Linked DNA regions of Anolis sagrei. The protein of the gene in region 2 interacts with the protein of the main gene of each other region in a biochemical or structural test. Links are inferred from orthologs where the notes say so. Each region holds a gene or a part of one and is shown on either strand. Other genes may lie near its edges.

Region 1 (7,758 bases), on a different chromosome or scaffold from region 2:
AAGAAATGTGCCTGTATCTTTAAATACATGAAGTTATCAGTAAACAAACCTTGTTATCTTTAAAAGAAGTCTGCTTGCATCATTGTCTGCTGAAAGCACCAAACAGAAACAAAATATCTACATGCCCAGTGATCATTCATAACCAAATAAGCTCTGCTCCCCTGATGGTCTGTGATCCTAACAGGTCATGATCCATTATCCCCAATATGTGCTGCTATTTGGAAATACATAATTCTCTCTCAACATGTTCTAGAAGATTCCTCAAGATATTCACCATTATATCCTACATGTGGGCAAACTTTTAAAAAAATAGCACATATAGTTATGACCTTTTCAATACGGAAATATCTGTGTAACCGGTTTGCTACTATTTGTTAATTATCATTGTTAAGCTACTTTTGACATTGTTTGTATTTTGAGTTCTTTTATCTCCCTAATTATTATCTCCCCACCCAAACATGCATGACCTTTGCAGCTTTCTTTGCATCCAAGGCCACATTCCTCACCTATGAGAATGAGTTTGAAGTCCATGAAACCATACACCAGATGAATTGCATTAGTGATTAAGGTTCACAGAGACCTCATTTTTGTTGCTTTTTAAATAATAACAATTATTGCTTTTAAATTTATGTCTGTACATACATCTCAGAATGCTGTGCAAATCTATGTTCTCTCTTTTTCTGTGGGGTGTTAAGTGGCCACATTGGGAGGAGATTATCTAGTGTCTTCTGTAGTAAAGGCACAAAGGTAGATCAGAATGGGAATTGTACAGCACTTGAGATGATTTTGAACTGTAATTTCCAAGAGTTCAAGTTCAAGTTCACTTTATTACAGTCATTACAGTCAGCTCATCAGAAGAGTTCAAACCAATAGTGTCAATGGAGACAAATACTATGTTTTACAGTCCAACAACATCTAGAGGGCCTCTTGACTCCCACGCCAAAATAAATCTATACCTGAGTTAGAGACAGGATACCCAATCTGCTGTTATTGTGTGCCTGAAATGTATTTCTGACTTATGGTGAACCTATCATGGATTTTTCTTGGCAAGGTTTGTTCAGAGGGAGTTTGCCTTTTTCCTTCTCTGGATGCATGTGTGACTTGACCAAAATCACCCAGTGAGTTTCCACTGAGCACAGATTTCAACCCTGGTTTACCAATGTTGTAGTCCAATGCTCAAGCTACTACACCTCATTGGTTGTCTTTCCATCTGTTACCTAGTCACAAAATACCATTTACATCAGGCATGGGCAAACTTCAGCCCTCCATGTGTTTTGGACTTCAACTCCCACAATTCCAAACAGCCTCAGGTCCTTTTCATTTAAATGGCTGAGGGGGGAAAGGAAGAGGTCTGAGGCTGTTAGGAATTGTAGGAGCTGAAGTCCAAAACACCTGGAGAGCCAAAGTTTGTCCTGATCTACATTCTATTCTTTGTGGAAGCTCAATCTAAAAGCCAGCAACCTATTTCTGAGTGGATCCAGAACAATTATTTCACATCCACTTAAACCACTGCTAACATGACTCACTTCTTCAGTAAGAATGGTTAAATGCACAGGAAAATGGGAAAATCAGAAAAGAGATATAACCTCAGCCAAGTCAAGTGTTGGGACACTCAGATTAATGCTGTTCATTCAACTGAATGCTTTTGCCTTCCAGATCTGTAAACACAATGGTCAGGTTTGAATTGGCCAAAGTTTCAAGCACTTTTTGAAACTTCAGCTCACAATGCTCCCAGCCAACAGGGTCACTTGGAGCTACAGTCCAAACAAATATCTTTTCCCAGAACTGACCCAGCTGTCACAAAAAAGTATCTCTGCAATAAATCAGAACCATTGCTGTCCCTGGATTGGTTTTGCTCTCATTCTGTTTACTTCCTGTTGGAGGAAAGAACATCAACAACATCTTGTGTAAGTATTGTATCATTTGTCAAATAACCATCAGAAATATTTTGGTGTCCCTGAATTTGCAGGTAACAGTTTCATGACAAGAAACTAAATAGTTTTACTGGTAATTGTTGCAAACTAAATTGATTTAACAGTGTGTATTCAAGATGCTACTGAAACAACTGGAAATCCTTTCACATTGAACTTAAATTTGCGCACTAAAATAATAGAGGATTGGCTGCTGAAGATGTACAACCTAGAGGAAATGCACAAACTGACAATTCTCATTATGGATGATACAACAGAGAAGTTTAAGCAAGATTGGCAACTGGTGCTTCATACCCAAGGGTGCATTTACACCGAAGATATAATGCATTTTGACAACACTTTGCCATGGCTCAATGCTATGGAACTATGGTAGTTGTAGTTTTAGAAGGTCTTTAGCTTTCTCTGCCCAAGAGTGCACTCTCAAACCACAACTCCCAGGACTCTGTAGCATTGATCCATGGCAGTTAACGTGCATTAATTCTACAGTGTTTTCTGCTGCACTAGAAATTACAGTGCAAAGTAGTGGAGTCCAACTATAAGAAGAGATTCCACCTAAACATTAGAAAGAATCTCTTGATGGTAAGAGCTGTTCAGTCATGGAATATGCTGCCTTGGAAAGTGGAGAGGTCTCCTTCTCTGGAACTTTGTAAATAGAGGCTGAAAGGCCACTATTGTTTATTTCTGCATAATAGAGTTGGACTGACTGGCCTTGCGGTCTTCTCAAACTCTGCGATTTTCCAGTTTCACCACTAACACAACTAGGTTGCAAGTCCCATCATTCTTAGCTATACTGGCAAAGAGTTGTACCTAAGCATCAATTGGGAATTGAGACTTGGGAATACTGTGTAAACAGAGTTCGGATAGTCATCTGTTGGGCTGTTGTAGGTTTTTCAGGCTATATGGCCATGTTCTAGAAGAAAAACTAAGGAGCAGGCCTAGTTTCCAACAGACCCCACAACCTCTGAGGATGCCTGTCATAGATACAGGCAAAATGTCAGGAGAGAATGCTTCTATTACATGCCTATATAGCCTGAAAAGACTACAACAACCCAGTGATTCCAGCCATGAAAGCCTTCGACAATACATTGAACATCTCTAAGGGGAGAAACTGTTCCAAGACACACAAAATTTGGAAAAACTAAGGAGCAGGCCTAGTTTCCAACAAACCTCACAACCTCTGAGGATGCCTGCCATAAATGTGGGTGAAACATCAGGAGAGAATGCTTCTAGAACATGGCCATACAGCCTGGAAAATCTACAACAACCAGTGATTCCAATCATGAAAGCCTTCGACAATACATTGAACATCTCTAGGAGGAGAAACTGTTCCAAGACACACGAAATTTGGAAAAACTAAGGATCAGGCCTAGTTTCAAACAGACATCACAACCTCTGAGAATGCGTGCCATAGATGCAGGTGAAACGTCAGAAGAAAATGCTTCTTTACATGGCCATATAGCCCGAAAAACCTACACACAACGGGTTAGGGTTTCACCATCAAAGAACTCTTACATTCCTTCTATATTATTTGTCTCCAACCTGGCTTACATTAGCTAAGTCTCTCTTGTCCAAACAGCGCTCCCAAAGGAGTGATGCGGCATCTCCGTAATGCTTGGAGCTTCCAGACCCAGCTATCATACTATTACAGTGGTTTTCAACCTGTGGGTCCCCAGATGTTTTTGGCCTACAACTCCCAGAAATCCCAGCCAGTTTACCAGCTGTTAGGATTTCTGGGAGTTGAAGACCAAAAACATCTGGGGACCCAGAGGCGGCCCTAAGTAATTTTCAACGGTAAGCAAACAGTATTTCCCCCCCCCCCCCAACCAATCATTGATATATATTTTCTGTTTGTCGTGGGAGTTCTGTGTGCCATATTTGGTTTAATTCCATCATTGGTGGAGTTCAGAATACTCTTTGATTGTAGGTGAACTATACATCCTAGTAACTACATTTGCTGCACTTGCTCCCTTGCCTGGCCCGCTTTGGGTCTGGAGGCATGCCCCGGCGTGTGCACCAAAAGTCACCTCTTCTCCTGACTTTCTCCTCAGCCATTGGGACCAAGAGAGAGAGAGAGACAGAGGTGGAGATGCCCACCTTTCCTGAAGGTAGGCGCAAAAACAAAGGAGGGAGCAGAGGTGGGAGATACCTCCAGCCGGAGGGTCTCTCTCTCTCTCTCTCTCTCTCTTGGTCCCAATGGCTGAAGAGAAAGTCAGGAGAAGAGGCGACTTTTGGTGCGCACACTGGGGTCTCAGACACGCCTCCGGACCCGAAGCGAGCCAGGCGCGGCGGCTCAGCCCCTTGGCCTACCCGCGGATTGGGGAGAGGAGAGGAGGTGGGTGGAGCGCCAGGGGATCGGGAAAGGGAGCCGGTCATGGGGAAGGGATCGAACACGGAGAACGATTGAGCGCCGGTTCTGCTCGCACACCCGGTGGCCAGGTGGAGAAGGAACGAGAGAGGCGAGGCTCAAGGGCCCGGCCCCTTTGAGAAGAGGATCGCCCGGCAGCGAGGCAAGAAAGCCGAGGCTCCCCCCGGACTGCTAGGGCTGTTGTGAGCTGAGGGGGCGCTCCTCAAGTGGTGGTGGAGGGGCATTTACAGAGGTGCCTCTGCGCCCCTGGCAAAAAAAAAAAGTGTTCTGCGACCGCTTACTTTGCGTAATGGACAAGCCGCCCCTGTGGAGACCTCAGGTTGAGAATCACTGTACTATTAGGAAGCGCTGACCTACAACATCCCAACAGTACAGCTGTTTGGGAAGCCTCTGGGCTGCAGGCAAGCAGGCAGGGAGGCAACTGGCCAGCAGGTGGCGCTCAAGGAAGCCGTATTATTGGGACTCCGCTGCGCCACCCGACTTCTAGAAGATCGCTCGCCTCTTCCCTCCTCGTTTCCTTCCCGGCGGCAAAGCAGGCGGTTCTTGCGACAGGGAAGGTGGCCGCTGCGTGCTTGTGGTTGCGCCTGGAGACAGGCAAGGATCGCGGGCGCAGTCTGGGGCGCGCTGGGTGGGTGGCTTCGACGCCGCCCCCTCTTTCCCTCCTTCACTGACGTCAGATCCAGGTTCCGGGGTGGGGAGAGAAGCCCAGAAGGAGCCACGCGCAGTGGGAAGGACCCTGCGCTCGGGCTGGACGGCGGGCTCTGCTCGGCACGGGGCTGCTGCGTCCTCTTTGGGAGCTTCCCATTTGACGGGTTGTTTTGGCAACATCTGGCTCGCTTTCCCCTCCCTCCCCCCGGAGCGCGCGCCTCGGGTTGCGTCCCCTTCCCTTCCCTTGCTTGCCTCGCGCCCTTCGATGGTTGGCTCCGGCCGAGATGAGCCGCCCGTCCTCCGCCGGACCCAGCGCTAGCAAAACCTGCGGCAAGCAGCAGCAGCCCCAGCAGCAGCCGCCGCCGCCACCACACGCTCCGGCTCCGTCTCCAGCAGCGGCTGCGGCGCCTCCCGCTACCAACAACGCTGCCGCCATCTCTGCGGCCGGAGGCGGCTCCTCCGCCCTGCCCAGCACCGCTGCCGGGCTCTCCAGCCCCGGAGCAGGAGGAGGGGGAGGCGGCGGCAGCGGGGAAGGCGGCGGAGGGGGCCCGGTGTCGTCGTCCTCCTCGTCCTCGTCCCCGCAGCACCACGAGCTGACCTCGCTCTTCGAGTGCCCCGTCTGCTTCGACTACGTGCTGCCGCCCATCCTGCAGTGCCAGGCCGGGCACCTGGTCTGCAACCAATGCCGGCAGAAGCTGAGCTGCTGCCCCACGTGCCGGGGGTCGCTCACCCCCAGCATCCGCAACCTGGCCATGGAGAAGGTGGCCTCGGCCGTCCTCTTCCCCTGCAAGGTAAGCCAGAGAGGGAGGGAGGAGGCGCTCTGACCACTTCGGGCACTTTCAGGCTCAGCAGGAGCCCAAAGCTGCGCCTATAGCAGACCTGGGCCAACTTGGGCCCTCCAGGTGTTTTGGACTCCAACTCCCACCATTCCCGACAGCCTCAGGCCCCTTCCTTCTCCCCCTCAGCCGCTTATGGGCAAACTTGGGCCCTCCAGGTGTTTTGGACTCCAATACCCACCTTTCCTAACAGCCTCAGGCCCCTTCCTAATAATAATAATAATAATAATGGGCCATCCAGGTGTTTTGGACTCTAACTCTCACCATTCCTAACAGCCTCAGCCCCATTCCTTCTCCTCCCCTAGCCACTTATGGGAAAACTTGGGCCCTCCAGGTGTTTTGGACACCAACTCCCACCATTCCCAACAGCCTCAGGCCCCTTCCTTCTCCCCCTCAGCTGCTTATGGGCCAACTTGGGACCTCCAGGTGTTTTGGACTCCAATACCCACCGTTCCTTACAGCCTCAGCCCCCTTCCTTCTCCCCCTCAGCCGCTTATGGGCCAACTTGGGCCCTCCAGGTGTTTTGGACTCCAATACCCACCGTTCCTAACAGCCTTAGGCCCCTTCCTTTCCCCTCTCAGCTGCTTATGGAAAACTTGGACCTTCCAGGTGTTTTGGACTCCAACTCCCACCATTCCTAACAGCCTCATGCCTCTTCCTTTCCCCTCTCAGCTGCTTATGGGAAAACTTGGGCTGTCCAGGTGTTTTGGACTCCAATACCCACCTTTCCTAACAGCCTCAGGCTCCTTCCTTCTCCCCCTCAGCCACTTATGGGCCAACTTGGGCCCTCCAGGTGTTTTGGACTCCAACTTCCACCATTCCTAACAGCCTCAGACCCCTTCCTTTTCCCCCTCAGCCGCTTAAGCGAGGATCAGTACTGCTCTTCTTGTGTCATCCTTTGAAAGGAAGAGCCAGGCAAATAGAGTGACTGTGTCCCTATATTGCAGGCATGGGCAAACTTGGGCCCTCCTGGTGTTTTGGACTTCCACACAGCACCCATAGCCTAGGCCTGCCATAGACTCATTATAACTTACCTGACTGAATCATTGGTTGATAGAGGTGATTGCTGTTTTCCAATCATTGTCTGTTGGATACAAATATGATCTCAATCCACAGAAGGTTCAACCTGTGGATGCAGAGGGCCAATTGCAAGTCCCACTGAATTCAGTAAGGCATAGAGTGCATCTACCCCAGGCTTGGGCAAACTTGGGCCCTCCAGGGGTTTTGGACTCCAACTCCCACCATTCCCAACAGCCTCAGGCCCCTTCTTTTTTCCCCTCAGCAGATTATGGGCAAACTTGGGCCCTCCAAGTATTTTGGACTCCAATTCCCACCTTTCCTAACAGCCTCAGCTCCCTTCCTTTTCCCCCTCAGCCACTTATGGGTGAACTTGGGCCCTCCAGCACAGGACCCCCACAAAAGTGGAGAAACAACACATTTTTTAAAATGCATTTTTTTCTGACAGAAGATTTCTCTGGGTCCTCCAGCCCAACTCCTGTACAACCACAGAATCACACTGGAGGATGTCTAAATGCCTAGAGAAGAGTTCCCTCTAGAAGAGACATGGGCAAACTTTAGCCCTCCATGTGTTTTGGACTCCAACTCCCACCATTCCTAACAGCCTCAGGCACCACTTAAGTGACTGAGGGGGGAAAGAAAAGGGTCAGAGGCTGTTAGAAATAGTGGGAGTTGGAGTCCAAAGCACCTGAAGGGCCCAAGTTGGCCCAGGCCTGATCTATCAGGTCTCTAGATCTAAGAAGTCATCCCCACCCCACTCTATGAACTTCCTCACCTGCGATGCTGTTTCATCACAATTCAAGAAAGATATAGATGGTCCCTGAGTTGCAAACATCCAACTCACCATTAAGAATGGGGGTGAAACAGTAGGAAGTGATCGAAATCTACCCCTAGGAAAGGCAAATCACTCCTGGTTGACTTATTATCATTGGGAAAAAATGTCTCCTCTCAAGCTTTATCA
Region 2 (7,719 bases):
GACAGATGCTCCACCATAGAATCTCCTCCTCCTCCTCTATAGGATCTCACTGCCTGGTTGGAATTCTATTCTAACTTACCTTAAAGTAAGCCATGGTTGAACACATTGGGCCTTACTCCTGAGTTGACATACATAGGTCATGCTGTGGACTCTAGATAATAGACTGCAGTATAATGAAAATTTAAAGCATGTCACCATAAAAAGTTAGTTGAACATGGCATATGACATACTTTCCATTGAAGTGGGCAAGTGTGCAAGCAGCCCCCACATTTTGTATTTGTGGGTCCTGGGTATAAAAAAAATTGACTTATCCCCCACCACTAAATTGCTCTTTAGGGGGATATAGAGGGTTTTTTTCACAAACCTTTGGAAATTTGTGGATCTCTCACAAATTTGCAAATAATTTCAATTTTTAAAAAATCTCAACATGACTAAAATGCTTTCTAGGGTTCGGAAAGACTCCAAAACATACCCCTGTGTCCTCTACAGGACTTTACAGGCAAAATTGGTGTTTCCATGAGATCAGGTATAACAGGGGCCTGTCTCTCCAAGGTCTCTTGGCGGGCTAATGTGGCCTCTATGACTTCAACAGTTGCCTACTCCTGCTTTACATATGAAATGATTTGCCAGCACTATGGAACAGTGCAAAAGCAGAATAATCTTGGCATAGGATTATTCCTTTTGTTTGTGAGCAGTCCTGTACTTGGGTTTTCATTCACCTTTTTCCCCAGCCAGAAATATAAGAAATACTTAAGTTCTAATGAACCATGTAAAGTAAAGGAAGAAGGGGGTGTCAAACTGATTAGAGTGTAGAGCCAGCCTAACCTTGTTGGCTAACTTTGTAGGTAGTCCAAACCTCCCCCTCTCTCTCTCTATATATATATCTAAATATAAAACAATATAATAAGCTATATAGTAGTTTTGATAAGAGATGCAGTACTGTTATAAATCTTTCCTCATAAGCAGGTACTGTACCACTAAATTCAATGTGTCTTACTTCCAACTAAGCATATCTAGATTAGGCATGGGCAAACGTTGGCTCTCCAGGTGTTTTGGATTTCAATTCCCACAATTCCTAACAATCAGTAGGCTGTTAGGAATTGTGGGAGTTGAAGCCCAAAACACATGGAGGGCCAAAGTTTGCCCATGCCTGATATAGATGCTATTTAGCTGAAGATGGCTATAAGATGTGATCTAATTTATCCTTAACTTGGAATCTTACTGCAATATTATTCATCTTTCTTGCAATATTATTCAGTTAAGATTCACAACAGCTCTGGTGAATATAGTAGGACTTCTATATCAACAGACATAGAAGAGCTGTTAAAATTTAAAATTAAGGAATACATTAACAACATCAGAAAATTTAGTTTTTGGAATGGTGAAGATATATTATCCCATTTATTAAAAAATATGTGGCTTTCCCTTGTACACTGCAATATGCTGCTTAGTGCTATATCAGATGACAGACATTTGCATCCTCCCAAGGAATAATAAAAACAACTCTTCATCAGCATGGATAGCCACATATCAAGCTGACATTTCCTCTCTGGGATTATCCTGAGGTCTAACAGGCTATTTAGATCTATTAAACAGCTTTGAACCATATATTATTAACAGCCAGTATTTTACTTACCTCATAATTTTTTTATTTATTTTGTTTGAAATCCACTAGTTTTCATGAGAAGAGACCACACAGTACAGGATTTATCCCCCTTTTCCTGCTTTAAAGAGGAGATAGGAAGAGTCACTTTTAGTTCAAACAAAAGTTATTTTGTACAAACAGGCATGACAAAACCTGTCTTCATTCCTTTCTGTTCAACTCAGCCCAGTATAATTCTTAGCTTCAGAGCACAATCCTATACATGTCTACTCAGAAGTAAATCCCAATGAGTTAAGTGGAACTTGCTCCCAGGAAACTGGTTAATCAGTTACCAGATTTTATAGACTTTGTTTTCAAAGTTGTCATAATTCTGATTTGAACTTGGAAAATCACAAATGCATAGACCTCAATTTTAACTCATTCTTCTGGGGCTACAGATGAGGAACCTATTTTATTTTGGATATGATAGCAGTATAATCTCTATATAATAAAGGGACTCGTTTTTCTCCATGCAACTTATAACATGTGCCAGGCATCAATGTGTGGCAGGATATGTGAATTGAATCCATTGTATTTGTTAATGTGTTATGAGTTCATCTTATAAGAAAAGCATCATTTTGACAATCATATATTAAGCATTTTTCTTTATTATGTTGCCATAGTGAAACCAATATATTTACCACACATTTCACATATAGAAGCTAATATTACTATCTTGTATTCATTTACCTTGGCATTAAGTAATTTGAACTTACATGTAGGGATTGCACTATATACCAAGGAAAATTAAAGGTCTTACCAAATGTTTAGGATAACATTCTGGCTACCTATCCTTGCATGTCTCATGACTTGCTTCATGCTTTGACCTGCATTCCCACTAACGTGATGAACAGCCCCATAAGAGAACCACTAAATGATATTAGCAGGAGTCATATACATGATACAACATAATATTAATACCCAACTAAAGCATGCAGCAGTATATCTAAAATTCTTGGCACAACGTCTGAAGTTAAGGTCTTAAAATTGACTATTCAGCATTAAGGGAGACGTTATATACTTACCTTTTTGTTTTGATTGTAAATGTTCAGTCTGACTCTGCTCTTGAGCAGCAGTGGTGGGTTATTTAATGTTTTCTTCCCCTGATCATACCAGCTGGGAAAGGTAAGGCTATAAAATCACCCGTGGACCACACTAGAGAATGCTGAGAGGAGTTTTGCTGCAGCTCGGATATACACAATGTGCAATGGATAACCTAATATGTCTTTCATTTAACTGGCTGGGCAGGTTTCTGAATTCTCTGGAACATGGAATCATACCAGAATTTGTTGGCATAACAGGCCCGTCAAACTGGTTCTTGGGTAGAGCAAGAACCCGTCCAACCAGTCTGCATCAAAGGGCAGCTCAACATGCTGCGGCTCAACTCAGCTCTGAAGCTTCATAAGTGGCGAATTATTCACGCCTCCACCAACTCCCAACAGAGAATGTTGTAGCCTCCAGCAAAACAATTTACCAAAGGGTTGGGGAGTGCTGTATCCCTAACCATATCAAACACAGCAACATCCTATTGTTGCAAAGCTTTTTTATTACATTTCTAGATGGAGCGGTTGATAGATAAGCATTGCATTGGTCATCCAAAGAAAAGAAACAAATGCAAAGAAACCAATAAGAAAAGGATACTTCAATTAAACAGCATTTCCATTTCTTACAAACAGTACTCAAACTGGGATCCAAGCCTGAAGTATTTTTAGATGTTGGTAGCAAAAGCTCCAGTAACCAATAGAAATAGAAATATTATGTTACACATACGATTAAAGTGCGGGCAACACAAAAACGTTGCTCTTTTTGGAGCAATGTTTGATAGTATTTAGTTTGCTATACAGAGTTAATGCAGGAGTGGCAGGTCAGAAGAGATGTGTGTTGATACATGTAAAACTAAGTTGCAAAACACGTTGAAGCATTGCAATGTGCTAACAGAAAGATAGCCCTAATTTCCAACAGACTGTATCCTATTAAGGTTTTACAAGCATCCATTGTTTGTAGCATTCCAGAAGGCCCTTGTAACTTTAATTTTAAGTAGAGATCCAATTCCTAATGAAATTCAGTTTTCTCATTTACCGTTAAGATCAGGATTTGGTTGCTGTGAGTTTTTCGGGCTGTAGGGCCATGTTCTAGAAGCATTCTTTCCTGGTGTTTTGCCCACATCTATGCCAGGCATCTTCAGAGGTGATGAGGTCTGAGGATGCCTTCCATACATATGGATGAAACGTCACGAAAAAATGCTTCTGGAACATGGCCATTGGCCATACAGTCCAGAAAACTCACAGCAACCCAGTGATTCTGGCCATGAAAGCCTTTGACAACACAAAGATCAGAATTGTTTGGTGGGGACACAATATCCAATGACCCCAGTGATTTTTACTTGTCTTTAACGGGATGATCAACTTGGTGGAAATGCTACTTTCAGTCATTGCCATTCAGAAAGCATCCCAAGCTCCGTCTTGAAAACATTTATTATACTGATCACAGCAATGAACAATAAGGAGCAAGAGTAGTACAGAGAAAACAGGGAAGAGAAGGGAAGTGAAGGAAAACTGAGATAGTGGAAGAGAAGGCAAAATGTACAGGGAAGGACAAAACAACAGGTGAGGGAAGGACAAGGATATAACCGTCTGCCCCAAACCAATTTCTCATAGGTTCTAAGGGCCCTTTCACACAGCCATATAACCCAGAATATCGAGGCAGAAAACCCCACAATATCTGCTTTGAATTGGATTATCCGAGTCTACACTGCCATATATTCCTTTAAAAGCAGATAACGCTGGATTTTATTCCACTGTGTGGAAGGCGCCTAACATTATTTAGCTGTATTGGAAAATGATCTCTTTCTTGTTATAAGATTTCAACAGAAGGGCATTCATATTTTCTTTTGAAGGGAAACAAAAAGCAGCAAGATTTTACCAATATTCCATCTTTGAATGATACTTTTAAAACATATTTTATTTTTCATATTCTATGAGAGATTACATGATCCTTATCTCCAGAATTGGATTTCTCCTGTGAGATGGAAGAACAAATTACCTACCATGCACAGTGCTTGCTGGATTATCATGTTAATTTCCCTTTGAAGCTTATATCACCAGATAAAAATGCCCATCAATGTAAAAGACCTGCCTGGACAGCTGCAGCTACATCTATACTATAGAATTAAGACAGCTTGACACCACTTTTACTGCCATGGCTCAATGCCATAAAATTGTGGGATTTATAGTTTGGTGAAGCACTGTTTGGCAAAGAAGACTACAACTCCTATGACTCCATAGCATTGAGCCATGGCAGTGAAAGTGGTGTCAGGCTACATTAATTTTACAGTGTAGATGCAGCTTCACAGTATTACAATAAAGATCTTCAAATGTACCAGATATCATGGACTGGTTTTTTTCATTCAGATACACTTGGGAAAAAAGTGACAAAAGGTATTGGCTCACATATCTAGCTCTAACATGAAAATTTTAATTATACTTTCCAAATGATTAGTTGTTGGAACATACTAAATTACCGGTTCAGCTAACTTTGGATCATGCTGTCATCATTTCATCAACCTTAGCAGAATTTTTTCCAGGTGTGGAAGGAAAAAAGTCTAATTAAATCATTTGTGTTGAAATGCAAATATTAACATAGCATACAGTCAAGGTTGTAGGTTGCAAATGATTTAGAGAATGGAAACAAACCCAAAAGAAGCTACAGAGAGTAGAACAGTTCTAATGGTACAACAGATGTGCAGCGTTTACATTACAGCCATACGACCTCAGGCTATTGTTTTCAGAATTGAGCTCGGTCAGTAGACCTGAACAGAAGAGTTTCAGTTATATGTGGTGTAGGAAATGGTTTTGATGATGTAGACAGGCTTACAATGAGTAGGATTAAAGTCATACTGCATATCATGAAGAAGAGTACTGATTGCTGGAGGTGTTCTTTATAATTAAATATAGTGTTCAAGGACCAGGCTATATATTAATAAGTTTGATTATCAAAAATAGTTTTGAAAGGGGGCAATTTAGAAAAAAAGTATATGCCAACGTTTCTCAAAGTGGGGACCCCGGGGGGGGGGTCATGAGGGGGTTTCCGGGGGGGGGGGTCACCAAAGACCATCAAAAAACACATATTTCTGATGGTCTTACGAACCCCTTTGACAAAGAAGGCTGAAGATCTCTCCACCTGTCCTTCTCTTCCTTTTTGGAAACAGATAGAAAATGCTCTCACCAAAAGCCCTCCTCCTCCTGTGATTGGCCGGACTCTCAGCTGGCCTCTCAGCCAAGGGAAGGTCTGTTTCTGAGACTCCAAGTGGGGAGAGGAGAGCAGGTATGCTCTCCCCTAAATCACTGTCAATTCCTCCCAAATCCCTCCAGTATTTTCTGGTCATGGGAGTTCTGTGTGCCAAGTTTGGTTCAATTTCATCATTGGTGGAGTTAAGAATGCTTTTTATTGTAGGTGAACTATAAATTCCAGCAACTACAACTCCCAAATGACAAAATCAATGCCCCTTAAACCTCACCAGTATTCAAATTTGGGTATATCGGGTATTTGTGCCAAATTTGGTCCAGTGAATGAAAATACATCCTACATATCAGATATTTACGTTACGATTCATAAGAGTAGCAAAATTACAGTCATGAAGTAGCAACGAAAATAATTTTATGGTTGGGGGTCACCTTAACATGAGGAATTGTATTAAGGGGTTATGGCATTAGGAAGGTTGAGAACCACTGGTATATACAGGACATGTTAAGGTGAAGTAGATGCATCATTAACCCTCTCCTTCTTATAATTTTGCTACTCAAACTTTCCTCTCTCCAAAGAAATTTTCTCCTGGATTCCAGATGTGTTTTCTAGCATAAATTTGTCTCTGGCAAAAGTTCACTCCGAAAGTTGCTGCTTGATTCTTTCATTCTCTCACTTTTTTCATTTTATGCTATAACAAAGTAACACGACTATTTTTTAAAGGAACTACTGGTAGGTGAAGAAAAATCAAAGTTCATATTGCTACCTTTTTAATGTAAATTTGCCCTTTCCCATACTGCTTTTCTGTTCACAACTACAATGGTGACCAGGGTTTTAGAACACGTTTGCATGCTCTTGACCTTTAAATAATGTATTTTTATTCCCAAAGAAAGGCAATGAAAATGAGTACAATATAGGTAGTGATAACCATCAAAAACAGGATTTTAAACACACATGCTTGCAAGCTCCTAACCCTTAAATAATGCCTTTCTTATGGAATAAAAAATACAGTGAAAATGATTGCAACATAGGTAGTGTTAATCATAAAAACATTTAGAGACAATTTACTCTGTCTTGCCTATTTCATTAACCTGTTTGTTAGTAAGATTTTGATGATATTGTGTTATGGTGTTACTCACTGGTTGATAGTGGAGAAGTTCTGATCAAACCATTTCCTATAATCCCTGTTGTTGACAGGTTTTCCTTAATTATTTCACTACACGCGAAATCCATGAATTCATTTTTGTGCTTAGCACGTTGTGCTTAGCGAGCACTTCATTTTATAGAGCAACACAGCAATGTGTCTTAAGGTGAAAGAGTTTGAATTTCACAATCTTTCTTAAAGAAGCAGCAGCTGACACAGGTGCTGACTTGCTCCTTTGGTAAATGTATGCACAAACATTCAAGGTTTTATTATAAAAATGCACAATACAATATTGAAATATGTCCAGAAGCTTTATGAACAAATCTGTGGAGTCTCAGGGTGGATCTAGACAGCTCTTTTACTGCGGGAGTTACCGCAATAAAAAAGGGGCTGTCCAGGTGACGTCCTGGACAAACTTGCATTAATCTCCCACAAACCAGGAAAACCCTGGTTTGTGGTAAATTGATTTGATAGTGGGTTTATTCCACACTTTCTTGGAAGACACAGGACAAACCCACTACTTCTGGTGTCTGGACAGCAGAATACTGTCCAGACAGTATTCCCACAGTTTTCCAGGCTAAATTAGCCTGGAAAATTGTGGGAATACCAACCCCTCCTCAAAAGCCCTCTAAAGAGAGAAAAGAACTCACCCAGCCTCCATGGGACAGCTGCTGGAATTCTACTGGTGTGT
Region 3 (7,274 bases), on a different chromosome or scaffold from region 2:
ATCAGGAAAAATTCAAATATTTTAAGGTTCTCACTGACAACACTCCATTTTTTATCAGTGATTCTTTTTATGACATTCTAGACAATTTTGATGTTAGTATAGTATTTTTTCATAATTGCATAAATAAACCTTAGATCATAAGTATAGCATTATTGATGACTACATCTTTACAACTATGTATTTTGGTATAGAGGTTTTTTTTTTAAGAAGGTCACAATCCTAAATACACTTAATTGGGAACAAATATCTTAAGACATAAAATAATATCTTTTTGAATAGAGAACAATTTCAAAAGCGAGAGAGAAAGAGAGAGGGAACATGCTAAGCAAATGTCTCTGTCTAAGCTGCCTGGATGCCATATTTAAGTTGCTCAGATCTCTTTGGAGGAATTTAAACAAATAACATAAATTAAATAAATGTGAGCTTTTACTGCACCATTGACTTAATTGGTTTAAAAGGTGACTAAGGATCAATGAGGTTAAAAAACACACAGTTAGAAGCATCTGACTTACAAGAGACTCATAGTTAAGAACAGGGCTGAGACAACAGGGAGAAAAATCTATCCCTCAGCAGGGATGTTCACTCCTGGAAGAGTTATACTGGGAAAAAGGTCTCTCTATTGAAGTTTTTTCCATCAGTCCTTGTTTCCACAAAAGGCCAAATGTTTCAACATCCAGAAAGTGAGGCAGAAGGGGGGATCCTTTGTTGGGAGGTGTTAGCTGGCCCTGATTGATACTTGCCAGCAATTCACGTTTTTTGAGTGTTGTTCTTTATTTACTGTTCTGATTTTAAATTTTTTTAAATACTGGTAGCTAGATTTTGTTTTCTCCTTTCTGTTGAAATTGTCCACATGCTTGTGGATTTAAATGGCCTCTCTGTATAGCCTGACATGGTGGTTGCTAGTGGTGCATTATCTCTGTGTTCCCAAATAACATGCTGTGTCCAGGCCTGTCCACCACCTAATACCTCCCAACAAAGGTTCCCCGGGCAGCAATCAGCCAGGCTTTCAAGCTACAAGGCTAATCAAAGTGGGCAATTGCAACATTCACTTTTGCCTCAAGCAGACAAGTTTCTTTCTCCCACCCTGGGCATTCTCATTTTTCTAGTTTCCAACAGACCTCACAACCTCTGAGGATGCCTGTCATAGATGTGGGTGAAACGTCAGGAGATAATGCTTCTGGAACATATAAAGCCTATAAAGCCCTAAACGGTTCTGGCCCTACTTACCTCTCCGAACGCATCTCCTCCTATGAACCGACTAGGACACTAAGATCATCTGGGGAGGCCCTGCTCTCTGTCCCACCTGCATCACAGGCGTGCTTGGCGAGGACGAGAGACAGGGCCTTCTCAGTGGTGGCCCCTCGGCTGTGGAACGCCTTGCCTGCAGATATCAGATCGGCCCCTTCCCTGCTGGCGTTTTGGAGGAAAGTGAAGACCTGGCTGTTCGAACAAGCATTTGATTAAACAGTGTAATTGAACATAGGAATACGAAATAATGGATGATGAGACTGGATTCTGATTTTACTGTTGAGGCGCTAATGATTGTTATACTGATGTTAATGATTTATGTGATAATTGTTTTTAATTGCCCTATACTTGTTTTGTGATATTTTGTATCGATGTTGTTCACCGCTTTGAGTCGCCTGAGGGCTGAGAAAAGCGGTATACAAATAAAGTAAATAAATAAAATAAATAAACATGACCATGCAGCCCGGAAAACCCACAGCAACCTAGTTAAAGTGTTGTTGTTGTTCATTCGTTCAGTCGTCTCCGACTCTTCGTGACCTCATGGACCAGCCCACGCCAGAGCTCCCTGTTGGCCGTTACCACCCCCAGCTCCTTCAAGGTCAGTCCAGTCACTTCAAGGATGCCATCCATCCATCTTGCCCTTGGTCGGCCCCTCTTCCTTTTGCCTTCCACTTTCCCCAGCATAATTGTCTTCTCTAGGCTTTCCTGTCTCCTCATGATGTGGCCAAAGTACTTCAACTTTGTCTCTAGTATCTTTCCCTCCAGTGAGCAGTCGGGCTTTATTTCCTGGAGGATGGACTGGTTGGATCTTCTCGCAGTCCAAGGCACTCTCAGCACTTTCCTCCAACACCACAGCTCAAAAGCATCGATCTTCCTTCGCTCAGCCTTCCCTAAGGTCCAGCTCTCACATCCGTAGGTGACTACAGGGAAGACCATGGCTTTGACTAGGCGGATCTTTGTTGCCAGTCTGATGTCTCTACTCTTCACTATTTTATCGAGACTGGACATTGCTCTCCTCCCAAGAAGTAAGCGTCTCCTGATTTCCTGGCCACAGTCTGCATCTGCAGTAATCTTTGCACCTAGAAATACAAAGTCTGTCACGGCCTCCACGGTTTCTCCCTCTATTTTCCAGTTGTCAATCATTCTTGTTGCCATAATCTTGGTTTTTTTGACGTTTAGCTGCAACCCGGCTTTTGCGCTTTCTTCTTTCACCTTGATTAGAAGGCTCCTCAGCTCCTCCTCGCTTTCGGCCATCAGAGTGGTGTCATCTGCATATCTGAGGTTGTTAATGTTTCTTCCAGCAATTTTCACCCCAGCTTTGCATTCATCCAGCCCCGCACATCGCATGATGTGTTCTGCATACAAGTTAAAAAGGTTGGGTGAGAGTATGCAGCCTTGCCGTACGCCTTTCCCAATCTTGAACCAGTCTGTTGTTCCGTGGTCAGTTCTGATTGTTGCTACTTGGTCCTTGTACAGATTCCTCAGGAGAGAGACAAGGTGGCTTGGGATGCCCATCCCACCAAGAACTTGCCACAATTTATTATGATCCACACAGTCAAAGGCTTTAGAATAGTCAATGAAGCAGAAGTAGATGTTTTTCTGAAACTCCCTGCCTTTCTCCATTATCCAGCGGATATTGGCAATCTGGTCTCTCGTTCCTCTGCCTTTTCTAAACCCAGCTTGAACATCTGGCAACTCTCGCTCCATGTATTGCTGGAGTCTTCCTTGCAGGATCTTGAGCATTACCTTACTGGCATGAGAAATAAGGGCCACTGTACGGAAGTTTGAGCAGTCTTTCGCATTTCCCTTTTTTGGTATGGGGATATAAGTTGATTTTTTCCAGTCTGATGGCCATTCTTGTGTTTTCCATATTTGCTGGCAAATGGCATGCATCACCTTGACACCATCATCTTTTAAGATTTAAAACAGTTCAGCTGGGATCCCATCATCTCCTGCTGCCTTGTTGTTAGCAATGCTTCTTAAGGCCCATTCAACCTCACTCCTCAGGATGTCTGGTTCTAATTCATTCACCACACCGTCAAAGCTATCCTCGATATTGTTATCCTTCCTATACAGATCTCCTGTATAGTCTCGCCACCTTCTCTTGATCTCTTCAGCTTCTGTTAGGTCCCTGCCATCTTTGTTTCTTATCATACCAATTTTTGCCTGAAATTTACCTCCAATGTTTCTAATTTTCTGGAAGAGGTCTCTTGTCCTTCCTATTCTGTTGTCTTCTTCCACTTCCATGCATTGCTTATTTAAAAATAGTTCCTTATCTCTTCTGGCTAACCTCTGGAATTGCGCATTTAACTGGGCATATCTCCCCTTTTCACTGTTTCCTTTTGCTTTCCTCCTTTCTTGGGCTACTTCCAGTGTCTAAGCAGACAACCATTTTGCCTTCTTGGTTTTCTCTTTCTTTGGAATGTACTTTGTTGCCGTCTCCTGAACAATGTTGCGGACTTCTGTCCATAGTTCTTCTGGGACTCTGTTTACTAAATCTAGTCCTTCAAATCTGTTCTTCACTTCCACTGTATATTCGCTAGGAATGTTAGTGAGATCGTATCTAACTGGTCTGTGTATTTTCCCTGATCTCTTTAGTTTTATTCTAAATTGGGCAATAAGAAGTTCGTGATCTGAGCTACAGTCAGCCCCAGGTCTTGTTTTCACCGACTGGATGGATGTCCGCCACCTTTGGCTGCAAAGGATGTAGTCAATCTGATTTCGGTGCTGACCATCTGGTGTTGTTAAACTGCATTAAAGTGTTGTTAAACTGCATTAATTCCACAGTCGTAGACGCACCCTCAGTCATTTGGGAGTATTTCCCACCTGACCCACAAGGAGGAGAAATAAAGCAGGTAGGGCGGGAAATGTGATGACAATGGGTGTCTGAGGGAAGCCCGCCGAGGATTGGCCGAGGAGGAAGTGTTCGCGCGCTGAGCGGCAGGCAGGGCGACCAATGGGGGCAGGGCGCGGGAAGGGAGGGGGTTCTTTGACGCGGGCGCGGATTGGGCGGCGTGAGGGAGGCGGGCCGGCGGCTTTTACGAGGCAACGGCCGCGCCAGCGAATGGGGTGGCTGCCCTGCGCGAGGCGTCGTGGTGGTCGGTGGGGTTCTCCTCAGAAGTCGGAGCAGCAGCAGCCGCCCGCCGTGTTCATGGAGGCTCCTCCTCCTCCTCCTCCGGCCTTGCCCACAGGTGGCGGCGACGGCGGAAGTGACGGTCAGTGTGGGATGCTTGCCGTTGGGGGAAGATGGCGGCGGTGGCGGCTGTGCTAGGCAGCGAAGGAGGTAAACAACGGAGAGGGAAGGGAGGCTGAGGCAGGGAGGAGCGGGCCTGGGCCGAGAGGCTGCCTTTCCGCCAGGCTCCCGCCTCTTCTCCCTCGCCCGCCTTGATGTTCCCCAGAGAGGCCCCTCTCCTCACGGCCAGCGTCTCCGGCGATGCTGAGAGGTAGGTGCAGCTCTTCGCCCCCTCCTTTGGTCGTGGCCGAGGCCCCTCAGGTAGAGCTTACCCCGGTCCCATCTTCTATCTTCTATATATAAATGCTCTGTGCATAATGAGTACCTTAAAAACAAAAGAACGAAATCGCACCAAATTTGATAACAAAACGTCTCACAACACAAGGATGTATGATTTTTGTCATTTGAGAGTTGTAGTTGCTGGGATTTATAGTTCACCTACAATCAAAGAGCATTCTGAACTCCATCAACGATGAAACTGAACCAAACTTGGCACACAGAACTCCCATGACCAACAGAAAATATTGGAAGGGTTTGGTTGGCATTGACCTTGAGTTTGGGAGTTGTAGTTCCAACAATGATGGATCTGGACCAAACTTGGCACAAGCACTAAATACGCCCAAATATGAATAGAGATGGAGTTTGGGGCAAATCGACCTTGACATTTGGGAGTTGTAGTCACTGGGATTCACAGTTCACCTACAATCAAAGAACATTCTGAACCCCACGAACGACAGAATCGGGGCAAACTTCCCACACAGAACCCCCATGACCATCAGAAAATACTTAAGGCCATCCAATCCAACTCTCTTCATCAGGACAAGAAAACGTAATCAAAGTCCTCCTGATAAAGAGCCATCCAGCCATAGAGATAGATAGATAGATATGATTCACACACAGAGAGATATAGTATCATAGATTTGAAAGGGACCCTTAAAGAAGGACAATGATACGTTGCGTGTTCCAGGGTGGGAAAACCAGACATTAACAAAGAAACAGCAAGAAATACTGTTTACCTACAAGCATAAAGGAATTACATATATTAGAAACCAACAGTTTCTCATTACTTTATTTTCCAGTTCAACAGCTAGTCCCTTATAAAACACCTTCTCCTTTCTGAAAGGATGTAGAATTCACGCACTTGAGACCACTAGGAATGCTGTGGCATCCTGGGAGTTGTGCAGGGTGTTTCAAAAGGACGGACCCAATTTCAAAGCAGTATACTTTTGTCATGGCAACATGTTCCAACTGCACACGTTTGCGAATGGAAAATATCTCACTAGGCCTTATGTTGTGGGGTTGCCACCTTGCAAATTGAGTCCAGGGGCTGTTTGTTATTTCAAGTAGTGAGAGGTTTATTCATGGGAGGTTAGGTCCATCTTTTTGAAATACCCAATAGTTTGTTGTTAAAGTGCTGAGCTGCTGAACTTGCTGACTGAAAGGTTGGCAGTTCAAATCTGGGGAGCAAGGCCATCTCCCGCTGTTAGGCCCAGCTTCTGCCAACCTAGCAGTTTGAAAACATGCAAATGTGAGATCAATTGGTACCGCTTCGGTGGGAAGGTCACGCCACTCCATGCTGTCATGCCGGCCACATGACCTTGGAGGGGTCTACGGACAACACAGGCTCTTTGACTTAGAAATGGAGATGAGCATCACCCCCCAGAGTCGGATACGACTGAACTTAACATCAAGGGGAACCCTTTACCTTTATAGTTTGTCGAGGCATCATCACCCTAGAGCAGAGAAAGCCAAAGAACCGTGTAAAACTGCAGCTCCCATCATTCCATAGCATTCAGCCATAGCAGCTCACGTGGTGTCAGACTGTATCCATTTTATTTATTTATTTCGAGCATTTATATCCCATCCTTCTCACGCCCGAAGAGGGACACAGGGCAGCTTGCAGTTATAATTACATTCTACAGTTACAATCCCTAAAATGGATATTCATACTGAGTCAGTTTACTCTTCTCACATTCATCCCCTATATTTTGGGGAAAGAGGGACAGTTTGATTGAGGTGTCTGAGAGGACAGCACTGTTACAGAATTGAAGGGTAGTAATGCAATCCTAATGCATTTTTTGTGTGTGGGGCAGTTTCTGCTACTCCTACTTAATATTTTGTAAAATCTCTGACTGGCAGGTATTTTTCCCTCTCTGGTGTTCTTAATGTCTTTGAGGGTATAGTGATGATGCTATCTTCCCCTTTCTAATTCCACACTTGATAAAGAGGCCGGGAAAAATTATGTATTATTATTATTTACCACACTTGTATCCCTCCTTTCTCAACCCCGGAGGGGACTCAAGGCAGCCTTCCAAAGGCAACAATTCAATGCTGCATGTATACATACATCAGTGAATAAACAAAACATTAAAACCAACCATTTAAAACATAACATTAAACAACAATTTAAATAACATATTCCAGGTCATATTCCAGTGCCAGTCCAGATGGGCACTATAGTGATATGAGCACTATAGTGATGCCTCCAGAATATAGCACACTCAATTGGCCAGTCAGTTTTTGTACTTTAGCACCCTTCAACCCTTATAATTATCCATGCTGGCTGGGACCTCTGGTAGCTAAAGGTGAAAACATCTGGATTGAGAACCACCATACGGTACTTATATTAAAGATACTTTATACTGCATTGAAGAGCCAGCATGGTGTAATGGTTTGAGTGTTGGACTATACTACTGGGAGACTGGAGTTTGAATCCCTGTTTAGCCATGGAAACCCACTGGCGGAATATGGCCAAGTTGTTCTCTCTCCGCCTTAAAGGAAGGCAAGTGTTGCC

What was found.
Region 1: the proteins of RBBP8 (region 2) and SIAH2 form a complex in vitro, tested with the Homo sapiens proteins (2 studies listed by BioGRID). The link is inferred for Anolis sagrei from reciprocal best matches to the Homo sapiens genes RBBP8 and SIAH2.
Region 3: the proteins of RBBP8 (region 2) and KLHL15 form a complex in vitro, tested with the Homo sapiens proteins (2 studies listed by BioGRID, with this or other methods). The link is inferred for Anolis sagrei from reciprocal best matches to the Homo sapiens genes RBBP8 and KLHL15.

What each region holds. Positions count from the first base shown.
Region 1 is NC_090023.1:241,455,001-241,462,758, reverse strand, and holds the start of SIAH2 (E3 ubiquitin-protein ligase SIAH2), read left to right. Parts: upstream 1-4,756; 5' UTR 4,757-5,228; coding exon 5,229-5,735; intron 5,736-7,758. UniProt on the Homo sapiens protein: E3 ubiquitin-protein ligase that mediates ubiquitination and subsequent proteasomal degradation of target proteins.
Region 2 is NC_090024.1:59,992,825-60,000,543, forward strand, and holds the start of RBBP8 (DNA endonuclease RBBP8), read right to left. Parts: upstream 3,001-7,719; 5' UTR 2,668-3,000; intron 1,725-2,667; 5' UTR 1,637-1,724; intron 1-1,636. UniProt on the Homo sapiens protein: Endonuclease that cooperates with the MRE11-RAD50-NBN (MRN) complex in DNA-end resection, the first step of double-strand break (DSB) repair through the homologous recombination (HR) pathway.
Region 3 is NC_090023.1:86,712,740-86,720,013, forward strand, and holds the start of KLHL15 (kelch-like protein 15), read left to right. Parts: upstream 1-4,272; 5' UTR 4,273-4,691; intron 4,692-7,274. UniProt on the Homo sapiens protein: Substrate-specific adapter for CUL3 E3 ubiquitin-protein ligase complex.